Linked DNA regions of Oryctolagus cuniculus. The protein of the gene in region 1 purifies or fractionates together with the protein of each later gene. This does not show direct contact. Links are inferred from orthologs where the notes say so. Each region holds a gene or a part of one and is shown in the gene's direction. Other genes may lie near its edges.

What was found.
Region 2: the proteins of NPC1 (region 1) and PON2 purify together in Homo sapiens (affinity purification with mass spectrometry; 3 studies listed by BioGRID and IntAct, with this or other methods). This does not show direct contact. The link is inferred for Oryctolagus cuniculus from reciprocal best matches to the Homo sapiens genes NPC1 and PON2.
Region 3: the proteins of NPC1 (region 1) and SIGMAR1 purify together in Homo sapiens (affinity purification with mass spectrometry; 3 studies listed by BioGRID and IntAct, with this or other methods). This does not show direct contact. The link is inferred for Oryctolagus cuniculus from reciprocal best matches to the Homo sapiens genes NPC1 and SIGMAR1.

Annotation. Positions count from the first base shown.
Region 1 is NC_091441.1:54,241,460-54,244,619, forward strand, and holds the end of NPC1 (NPC intracellular cholesterol transporter 1), read left to right. Parts: intron 1-387; coding exon 388-501; intron 502-1,088; coding exon 1,089-1,251; intron 1,252-1,760; coding exon 1,761-1,811; coding exon of another isoform or gene 1,812-1,843; exon of another isoform or gene 1,844-1,900; coding exon 1,901-1,941; 3' UTR 1,942-2,372; coding exon of another isoform or gene 2,373-2,452; 3' UTR 2,453-2,572; downstream 2,573-3,160. Other genes in the region: RMC1 (regulator of MON1-CCZ1 complex), read right to left, coding at 2,373-2,452, 3,098-3,160. UniProt on the Homo sapiens protein: Intracellular cholesterol transporter which acts in concert with NPC2 and plays an important role in the egress of cholesterol from the endosomal/lysosomal compartment.
Region 2 is NC_091447.1:40,771,072-40,774,717, forward strand, and holds part of PON2 (serum paraoxonase/arylesterase 2), read left to right. Parts: intron 1-3,366; coding exon 3,367-3,532; intron 3,533-3,646. UniProt on the Homo sapiens protein: Capable of hydrolyzing lactones and a number of aromatic carboxylic acid esters. Has antioxidant activity. Is not associated with high density lipoprotein.
Region 3 is NC_091432.1:197,662,173-197,666,559, reverse strand, and holds the start of SIGMAR1 (sigma non-opioid intracellular receptor 1), read left to right. Parts: upstream 1-1,449; 5' UTR 1,450-1,595; coding exon 1,596-1,746; intron 1,747-1,873; coding exon 1,874-2,074; intron 2,075-2,211; coding exon 2,212-2,304; intron 2,305-3,790; coding exon of another isoform or gene 3,791-3,920; coding exon 3,921-4,150; 3' UTR 4,151-4,387. UniProt on the Homo sapiens protein: Functions in lipid transport from the endoplasmic reticulum and is involved in a wide array of cellular functions probably through regulation of the biogenesis of lipid microdomains at the plasma membrane.

The DNA of each region.
Region 1 (3,160 bases):
AGTGTGCAGCCTAAGGGCGTTCACTGTTGATCCAGAATATTGCCCTCCCCGGGGGCTGTCTGCCCAGTTCCCAGTGGCTAGGTGCTTTTTGATAGTTAAGTGACAATCTTGCAGCTGTGAGCATTCCAGAGGTGATAGGTGCACATCCAGCTGGGAGTCCCGTGGGGCCGGGGTGGGGACAGCCAGGAGCGACAACAGCGTGCAGGCTGCGCAGGGCCGGCTGTGGCTGGGAGGCTTTGGCACCTCCCCCACCAGATGCACACACGCCCTAGGACCCGGGGGCACAGGCCGTGCTGGGAGCGGGGGAGTGGGACTCCAGCACACATCGCAGGGGCGAGGGGCACCGCACCAGGCAAGAGCCCTGCTGAGGGAAGTGCTTTATTTCAGAGCTGTGGCATCTCCGTGGAGTTCTGCAGCCACATAACCAGAGCGTTCACAGTGAGTGCCAAAGGAAGCCGTGTGGCCCGCGCGGAGGAGGCGCTCGCTCACATGGGCAGCTCTGTGAGTATCCCGCAGGGCGCGCCCAGGGCTGGGACGACTCCTGAGGAGGAACTGAAGTTCGGAGACGTGCTTTAGAAAGCAGCTGCCAGCGAGGCCAAGTCCCTGGCAGTTCCTGGAGCAGCTGCACCTGGCACCGGTGTGTGTGACTTCTGTAGCAGGGAAACCGCGAGAAGTCAGATCTGCAGGAGCTGCACGCGGCACAGGCTCGAGCCCAGGGTGCAGTGTGGAGCTGACGTCTGCAGCGTCTCCCAGTTCAGCTCTGTCCCGGGTTAGCCTGGCCGCCAGCCCCTTCTCCTCTGTGGAACAGAACGTTAGGAAAAGCTAACACTTCTGTTTCCGAACGCTCCGTGTGCACCTGAGACAGACGTGTGTCTGCAGACAGGAGGCAGTGCCGCTGCAGAGCAAACAGCCTTGCACCCATTCATACCTGAGCCCGCTCAGCCTCGTAGAGGCACAGGTAGACTGCAGCCCCCCACCAGGGTGCCCGCGCCGCCGCCGCCTCCTTGAATATGAGAAATCCTGGCAGAGAAAGGGCTCAGTTCCGACAGACGGGTACCAGCGGGCTCTCACGCGCTCTTCTCTTTTAGGTATTCAGTGGAATCACACTTACAAAATTTGGAGGGATTGTGGTGTTGGCTTTTGCCAAATCTCAGATTTTCCAGATCTTTTACTTCAGGATGTATTTGGCCATGGTCCTGCTGGGCGCCACGCACGGGTTGATATTCCTCCCGGTCTTGCTCAGTTACATAGGTGAGCGTTCTTAGTCTTAACAGGGGCAGGAGGCGGGGAGCGTGTTACTAGGGGGAAAGCTACCCTAAGGCATCCTTCCGTGCTGGTGGGCATCTGACAAGGAACACGGGGTAAAAAAAATTCCGAGAGGCGAGAGGAGCAGTCTGCTGGCTGATGACCGGCCAGCTGGTGCAGTCTCGCTGCTCGCCCTGCCTGCGCAGGGGGTCCAGGGCACACCTTGAAGCAGTCTGCGGAGCAGCAGGCCCACGCCCGCCTCGCGGGAGCAGCGTGGGCCCTTGCTGCCCGCACGGTGGGACTGTCCTCGTCAGCGGACGACGTCTGTGGCCACTGCCACTAAGTGACCGCGGCTCCCAGAACACGGCTGCGGCCTTGATTTATGACTTGTGCTGGACTAGAAGGCTGAGAAGAGGGGCTTGCTTTCCTCTCTGGGGCAGAGAAACTGGCCCCGTGAGTCTCTGAGCTACACCTTGGCTCCCGCAGTGACTGAAGAGTATTCTTTTCCCCCACAGGCCCTTCAACAAATAAAGCCAAAAGTTGTGCCACTCAAGAGCGATACAAAGGTACTGAGCGAGAGCGACTCCTAAATTTCTAGGCCTCTGCCAGGGCCTGGTGACTGTGAACTGTGTCTAAGGGTCGGTCACTTTGCCAGGTTCCCCCCTGGACAAAGCTGCGCTGCCAAGGCCGAGCTGAACCCGGGATGTTCCCCAACACCAGGCCGCCGAGCAGCAGCAGCGGTGGCTGTAGAGGTTTAAACTCAGGAACGCACGGCTGGCTAGTGAAGCAGTGTTACGCAATCTGAAGGAAGGCAACCACCGGACACGGACGCCTCGCCCAGCGCCGCCCGGCAGCAAGCGGAGGGGACGCTGGATGGCTGTAAGCATGACCTGCTCGCTGTCACTGCGGAAGGCCAGGCGGTGCGCTGTCGCTCCTGTTTTTAGGAGTAAGCCATCACCCAAGTTCTAGACCATATTTTTAGTAGCATTTGAGAATGTTGTAGATACACTTTACTGTAACATTTTGTAGTTTAAAGAGCTTTATTAATGCAATAAATTAACTTTGTACACATTTATATATACATATATATATTAAAAAAAAAAAAAAGACCACACTACCAAGCGATTTCAGAAGGTTGTGGGCCTCATTAGAGCTTGCTCTCCAAACACCTGTTTGAAAAACGCAACGTGTTCTTCACAGTGTTCTCCTATAGAGAGAAGCAGAAGGCACCGCCCATTAGATATGGCACGAAAGCAGAGACTGCTCGTTCGGTGTGTACGCTAGGTCTTAACTTATTTTTCTTGAATAAAACACTTTGTTTTCCTAAGCCTGGATTGCCCCTTCTATCACAAAGCTGCTGCCTTCACAACCCCTGTTCCCGAGATGCGTGGGAAAGCCGGGTGCAGGAAGAGTAGGCCCACTGTGCGGCCGGGAGGCCGGGAGCTGCTCTGCACTGGCCCAGGGTCAGACTTGGGAGTGTGACTGAGGACTCCGCCCTCGCTGAGGGCACAGCACCGTTAGCCGGTCCTTCCTGCCTGCAGCTACAGCGCTCAGAAAAAGTGCAGGCCACGGAAACTCTCAGCCACCACCTGCTGTCGTGTTCCTGTTTCTTCCAAAGGGACGTTCCCAGGTGTTGGGCTGGGTCCAGCCTCCGGATCATTCCCACCCCAAACCACCTCCCAACGAGTTCCCGAGATAGAGTGATGCCTGCAGCCTGCAGCCCGCAGCGGTAGCTCCGCTGCGCCTCAGGGTTCCGGCCTGAATTCTAGGGAAAGCCAACTCGATGGCACTGCTTACTGAGGCTTCCTACTGCGAGTCTGCAGTTACCCGGGTAGGACTATGGTATTCCCACCTGGTGTGAAACTGGGGTTCCCTCGCAAACGCTGGTTTCGCTGTTCAAAGAAGCGGAATATAG
Region 2 (3,646 bases), on another chromosome or scaffold:
CTCTATGAATGAGTCAGCTTTCCATCACTATAATACTGGACACAGATATTCATGAAAGAAGGGGGGTTATTTCACCTCATGGTTTTGGAAGATCAAGGTCCAAGATCAGGGAGGCACCACTGGTTCAGCCATCTGATGAGGCTGGAGGATGACAATGGAGTATGTGTGGCCAAATGATCCCATGGTGAGGCCAGAAGCAGAGCCAGAGAGAGCAGTTGGGCCTGATTCAGGCTGATACAGTGAGTCCTCTCTCAAGAGCTACCCTCTGAGGGCACTTCCCCCCGTGACTTAAGGATTTGCCACTAGGCCTCTCTCCTAAAAACCATAATTGAATCAGATCTCTGCCCTGCCACATTACCAAGTCATGACTTTGGGATGTAAATGTCTGCATGAATTCAGGAGCCAAATCATGTTCAAACTATAGTGGTCTCCAAGCACAAAATCTGCAATCATTTTCCCAGTGGGACATATTACAGTCACAGTGATCTTGCAGCCATGTCAACAGAATTTGTTTCTTTTTTCAATATTATCCTTTCTTGGTTATGTGACTTTGGGGGGGGGGATAAATTTAGAAAAATTCCTACTTTACCACTGTTATTTGTTTACTCAGCATTGTCTTGAACACTTCCCAAACTGCTCTCCCTTCTAAAGAAACAGTTCATATATCATGAGGGTCGTTTGATCTTCCTAGAATTTTGGCTCATCAAATGCTTCCTGTCCCATAGTTACAGGGTGAGGGTCACCTCAAAATTAACATTAGACTTGAAGAGAGATTGATAGAATATGAAAATTTAAACAGCAATGTGTGAGTGTACTTAACACTACTGAATTGCACACTTTAAAATGGTGAAGATGATGAGTTTCATGTTCTATCTGTTTTACTACAATCAATTTTAAAATGAGGAGAAATATTTAGATAGTAGGAAGATTTAACATAACCATGTCTAGTTATCACCATCTGGGATATCTTCCTGTGTATATTATTGTTTTGGGACTCTGATTATGAATAGAGATTATTAACAATAGAAGAGGCACTGCTATGTAGCAACAGCACAATTCCAGCTTATTCTGCTCACTAGGACTGCCAGCATTCAAATTATGCAATTATAGATAGGTTTTTTTAATTGGAGGAATTTCTGGTTATGTCCAATTTTGTGCATAAAGTGAGACTGTTTTGTTGTGCCCATTAAATGTATATAAACAATGACTGCATTGTATTAGAAAACTGAATAAGATAGTGCATTCAAGTAAAACTTACTTGAACTTGATTGATAGATCAATTGGCAGATAAAACATTTGATTGCTAGATAGATAGATAATATATTGGTTGACTAATTCAAAAGGCAAAAGATCTAGATCTCAGTGAGTTCCCAAATAGAAGTCAATACTCATTCCTAATTGAAACCTCTAAGCAGAGAAGGAACTTGCAACAAACACCATTCCTAGTGGTAAATTTGAGGTGCAGTCCTATTAATGTTCATAAACTTAGCAAATGCCTGGCAAAAACCATCAGTAATCTACTGGAGTTTAATAACCTAAAACGCAAGAAAAACTAAATGTGAGGCAGAGGAAAGAGACAAAACTGCCATTATTTTTAGATAATTTGCTCATCTGTTTTTGTAAACAAGCCAAGAAATTTAACTGCATAGATTAGAACTAACAGGAGAGTGCAGTGAAGTTAATGGATCAGAATGAACACATCAAACTCAGTGGCATCCCTCTGCACTAAGAAAAACCAAAATACAGTGTTCCATTCAGTATTCCCAATGAATGTCCTAGATATGAGGGAATCTTCAAAAAGTTCATGAAAGAGCATATTATGCAAAAACTGCATGGTTTTCAAATTCTTTTGGCATTAAAATAAACTTACCCTTTCATATATTTTTCCTTGAGTTTTTTGAAGTGCCCCTGCAGTAAGGGTAATAGAAAAAAAATCTGTACACCAGCGTTAAGGAGAACAGGGTAAGTGGGAATTTTGATCAGGGTTGGTCTCACTGAGACAGGGACGTTGGGAACAACTATAAAGAATTTGAGGGAGGGAGCCATAGATCTCAGAGGGAAAGCATTCCTGGGCAGAAAAGACTGTAAAAGCCCTGCGGCAAGACCATGTTCAGTTTGTTGAAGAACAACAAGGAATCCAGATGAGGAACAGTCACAGGCCATAGGGCAGAGGAATGGGGTGACTGGGATGTGGCAGGGGCAGGGGGAGTGTCGCTCCCCCTCTTCGTGGAGGAACGACACAGGACCCTGCGCTGTTCTTTCGTCTGCTCGGCCCTCCCCGGGTTTGCTGCTGGTTCTTCCCGGGTTGGCTACTATCCCTTCCACCTCCGTGGAAGGGCAGTTCCCCCTGGCCACATTCCCCACTTCCGCAGGGGAGCGGCACACCGCCGGCCGGCTTTCTCGGGGGCTGCACGGGTTCCCTTAGATGTTCCCCATAGATGTTCCTGGTGCACGCCGTCTCTCTCCTCCTTTATAGTCCTCCTCCGCCAATCCCAACTCGGCTGCCCACACGCCGAGTACGCTGCTCTCCAATCAGGAGCAAGTCCTACAGTTTATTAGTTGAACTGGAGGCAGCTGTGCGGAAGCTGTTTACTTCTCTCCCAACGCCATGTTGTGGGAGAGCAGATGCATAGAATAAGTCTTAATTCGAGTAACTTAGTCTAGTCCGGATTGCTCCCCACAGGGAGGGTGCAGAAAACGGTGGCTCTCATGTGGCTGTTAGGTCCTTGTAAAACATTTTCCTGGTAATCTGAAGGTGATGGAGGGTTTTGATCAGGGGTGTGATGTAATCTGACATCTGGATTCTGAGGCAAGACTGGACAGCATGCAAGAAAGGACAGAAGCGGAAAGGCCAGTGCAGAGACTGGTGTCAAATGACGGTGGTGACCTGGACCAGGGCAGCTGTGCAGGAAGTGGTGAGAACTGTTCACAGCCTTAGGAAGGGATGTATGGTCCAGGAAAAGTCAGCAGGCTTTGCTGATAGATTGGATATGAGGGTGCAGTAAGAAGGGAGTGCTGACTGACATCATTGACCGAGACTTGTAGCACTGTGGAAACAGCACGCAGGCCTGGGCCTCAAGATTTCCACAGTCCACGCGTGAACTTAGGTGTCCCCACCCTCAGCTCTGCCGGGAATGTCCCAGCCCCTCACACTCCCTAACCTGAACCCTTGATCTTCTGTTTCCGCCCAACAAAATCAGTTATTACTCAGCGTTCAGCCTTCTAGCTCTGTTTTTCCTATTGTCTTCTTTCTGCTTTGTGTCGGGGGCTTTGCGCCATCATCCTTATCATTCATGTATAGTGTCCACTTTAGGCTATAAAAATACGTAAGCCTTTATACCTGTCTTTTTTCACTGTTTTGGAAAGGGTCTGAAGTGTCCAGGACTCCACAGCTTTGCACCAGATAAGCCTGGAGGAATACTAATGATGGATCTCAAAGAAGAAAGACCGAGGGCACTGGAGTTAAGAATCAGCCGTGGGTTTGACTTGGCTTCATTCAATCCACACGGCATCAGCACTTTCATAGATGATGGTATGAACCAAAGAGCTACCAACATTGGGAAACGTATAATGACTCCCACATGACTGTGGAGAATAGATTGGTTATTTGTATAGGAAGAGAAGAACAATTAGCTCATGAATTATT
Region 3 (4,387 bases), on another chromosome or scaffold:
GTTGCCAGAGCCAGCACAGTAGCGCAGGTTAATCCTCCGCCTGCAGCGCCAGCATCCCATATGGGCGCCGGTTCTAGTCCCAGCTGCTCCTCTGCCCATCCAGCTCTCTGCTATGGCCTGGGATAGCAGTGGAAGATGGTCCAGGTGCCTGGGCCCCTGCACCCGCATGGGAAACCAGGAAGAAGCACCTGGCTCCTGGCTTCAGATGGGTGCAGCTCCAGCCATTGCGGCCATTTGGGGAGTGAACCAGCGGAAGGAAGACCTTTCTCTCTGTCTCTCTCTCTCACTGTCTGTAACTCTACCTGTCAAATAAATAAATAAAATTTTTTTAAAAATATATCTGTTGCCTGAATCAATGGCAGCTCCTAACCCTCTCTCCAGACCGGATCTGAGCTCCAGACCTGGATGCTCAGCTGCCCAGTAGACAAGAACAGGATGTCGGCCAAGAAAGAAGGAGCAAAGGAGGCGGAGGTGGGAAGTATCCCAGGAAGAAGAGCTGGAGCCCGGACAGTTACTCCCAGAGTGCTCCAGCTCTGAGAGCGCCTCTCTTATCGGGACCACAGTCATAGTATCCCTGGCTCTCCACTGGCTCCCCCGGGCAGCCCGGTGCCAATCTGTGCAAAATCCTCTCTCCTGGTTCCCCTGCTCTGCTTCAAAACAGACCGCATTCCACCTCTGCCCTTCAGGCCTTTGCTGCTGGAGTAGGTCACCTTGGGCTGGCACGCCCTCGTCGGCTCTCTTAAAAACGCTGCCAGGGACAGGCCTTTGGCAAAGGCCGCCTGCAGCGCCTCCATCCCTTACTGGAGTCCCTCGCTCCAGATTCCTGCTTCCTGCTAATGAGCACCCTGGGAAGCAGTGGAGAATGGCTTCAAGTGCTTGGGTACCTGCCACCCACGTGGGGAGACCCCCACAGAGATCCTGGGTGTGGCTGTTATGAGCATTTGGGGAGTGAACCAATGGACAGGGGGGCGTTTGCTCTCTCTCCCTCCTCCATCTCTCTCTGCCTTTCAAGTGGAAAAGAAAACAAAACACTGTTCAGACGTCACTGCCTCTGGACTGAGGCACTCCCCGACTGAACTGCCCCTTTGCAGCTCCTGGGCGAGCCCAGGCGGGCCTTAATAACCTCGGTCCCAGGAGGCAGCTCCTTCCCGCCCAAGCACGAGCCAAGGCCGACCTTAACAACCTGGTCTCAGAAGGCCCCACTTCCGGGCTCGCCTGCTTCGCCCGCCCCTGAGCCCAGGCGGGCCAGTCCATTGCGGGTCTCACCGCCACCCACCCTTCCCCCGAAGTCCAGCGGCCCTGGGTCGGACCCTGCGGGAGGACCCCACCGCCCGCGGCTGAGCGTCGCGGCCCCGCCCCCTCAGTGCAAGTGCGAGGCGCCGCCCCCCTGCTCCGCGCACCCCACGCGGAAATGGTTCAACCGAAGGGGCGGGGCTGGGTTGCCGCGGCCCTTAGGATTGGCCAGGGCGAGCCGTACCACGGTGGTGGCGGGGGGAGCGAGCCGTGAGCTGCCGGCGGCGGGCTCGGAGCTGTGAGTGTCCCAATCTGAGGCCCAGGTTCCGTGCCGCGCTGCGCTGTGCCAGGCCGCCGCCGGGATGCAGTGGGCCGTGGGCCGGCGGTGGGCGTGGGCTGCGCTGCTTCTGGTTGTCGTGGCGGTGCTGACCCAGATCCTCTGGCTCTGGCTGGGTACGCAGAACTTCGTCTTCCAGCGTGAAGAGATCGCGCAGCTGGCGCGGCAGTACGCGGGTAAGCGGGCACAGGGCGGGAGCGGGCAGCCGGCCCAGGATCGGAGCCAGGGATTCCAAGGACGCTGTCCCCAAACCTGGGACCCGAGCTGGCCCTGATACCGCCGCCGCTCCTCTGTTTCCGCCAGGGCTGGACCACGAGCTGGCATTTTCTCGGCTGATTGTCGAACTGCGGCGGCTGCACCCAGGACACGTGCTGCCCGACGAGGAGCTGCAGTGGGTGTTCGTGAACGCGGGCGGCTGGATGGGCGCCATGTGCCTTCTGCACGCCTCGCTGTCCGAGTACGTGCTGCTCTTCGGCACCGCCCTGGGCTCCCGCGGCCACTCGGGTCAGTGTTAGCGGTGGGCCGGACTGGGAGGCTGGGGCTGCGCAAGGGCCAGTGTACTCCTTTCTGATCTTGGGCTGAGCCATGTATGTGATGGTGCGGATGCCCTGATGGTTGGTGTCCATCTGTCTGTCACTCAGGGCGCTACTGGGCTGAGATCTCCGACACCATCATCTCTGGCACCTTCCACCAATGGAGAGAGGGCACCACAAAAAGCGAAGTCTTCTACCCAGGTGAGTAGGGAAGGTGAGTGCCCTCACACTGAAAGCGCCCACAGCTGGGAGAGCGAGCAATGGCGTTGAAGAGGGGGTGCTTTGAGGACCACTGCCCCACAAAGCCACAGGTGGTTGGTTGGCCAGAGCTGAGAGACCCTGTTGCTTTCCTCTGTTAACAGGAAGCAAAACATAACAACTTCCTGTTAATAAGTCTGATTTATTTTTGTCTATCTGGACACTTTTTAAAAAAAGATTTATTTATTTTATTTGAAAGAGTTACACACAGAGAGAAGGAGAGGCAGAGAGAGAGTCTTCCATCTGCTGGTTCACTCCCCAACTGGCCACAACAGCCAGGTCTGCGCTGATCCACAGCCAGGAGCCAGGAGCCTCCTCCCGGTCTCCCACGTGGGTGCAGGGGCCCAAGCACCTGGGCTGCCCTCCACTGCTTTCCCAGGCCATAGCAGAGAGCTGGATTGGAAGTGAAGCAGCCAGTACTCAAACCGGTGCCCATATGGGATGCCAGCACTGCAGGCGGCAGTTTTACCCGCCATGCCACAGTGCCGGCCCTGAACACTGTTTTATCCAGCCAATACCCCAACAAATGTTGGGGAGACAGCTGGGTAATTAGAAAAGCTCTCTCTCATACCTAAAAGACAAGACAATCATCTTCCTCTCCATTTCTTTTTTAAATAGTGAAACAACTTATATTAAAAGTAGAGCTTTGGATTTCCAAGCAGGTTTGAGGTGGAGGATGAGCATGGCCAGTATTGTGACTGAACAGCTCGGAAAGCCTCACAAGTCCTGTAACCGCGCGCTCCCTCTCTAACAAGTCCAGCCCAAGTTTAGCTAACTTTCTACTTGAATTGAATGAGGCTTGGGATTGCAGACTTCTTTAAAAAAAATAATTAACTTATTTTAAAAATATTTATTTATTTGAAAGGCATAGTTACAGAGAGGCAGAGAGTGAGAGGGAGAGGTCTTCCATCCAGTGGTTCACTCCTCAGTTGGCCACAAAGGCCAGAGCTGGACTGATCTGAAGCCAGGAGCTAGAAGCTTCTTCTGGGTCTCCTACCCTGCTCTCACCTGTGCAGGGGCCCAAGCACTTGGGCCATCTTCTACTGCCTTCCCAGGCCATAGCAGAGAGCTGGATCGGAAGTGGAGCAGCCGGGACTCGAACTGGTGCCCACATGGGATGCCAGCCTGCAGGCAGCAGCGTTACCCGCTCTGCCACAGCACCAGCCCAGGGATTGCAGACTTCAACGACTTGCATAGAAAGGCCTGTGGCCAGGTGAGGTGGCATCCCCTTGGAGATGCCACAGAAGAACATTTAGGAATGGCCATCTGGGCCCCTGACCCCTCTCATGGGACACCCGGCCAGCGAGGTAGAGCTTTTCCCTTTCTTGAAGCTCTCTCTCCATTCCTGATTCCTCACTGGTCCATGGGCCAGGGAAACTGCAGCAGTGGAAGGACTGGGCTCCTCACATGGGTATTCATTGTCCCCCAGGGGAGACGGTGGTGCATGGGCCTGGCGAAGCAACGGCTGTGGAGTGGGGGCCAAACACGTGGATGGTGGAGTACGGCCGCGGTGTCATCCCATCCACCCTGGCATTCGCACTGGCTGATACTGTCTTCAGCACTCAGGACTTCTTCACCCTCTTCTATACTCTTCGCTCCTACGCCCGGTGCCTCCGGCTCGAACTTACCACCTACCTCTTCGGCCAGGACGCTTGACCAGCCATGCCAGAAAGAAGACCTGTGGATGGACAGGAGCGGGCAGGCCCGCACACATCCACTTCCTGGAGCCCACGTGCAGATAGGGACATGCTTACAGCACGCAGGTGCTGAGTCCCTGCTGTACGGATAGGGACATACGTGCTTACATATCCAAACACGGACGTGTGGGAACAAGTGGGACATATACAGAGATACCAAGTCCTGTGCACACTGCAGGCTCATGCACTCACACCCATTCAGAGAGGGAGCCCCACATATACCAAGTGGGCTAGTCACGTTCAGATGCACCTGTCACAAGCTTGGCTCATGAACTCAGGCCTTTCCAGAGCGTGCCGTCCCCAGTCCGGGCTCTGGGGTTAAGGACGGG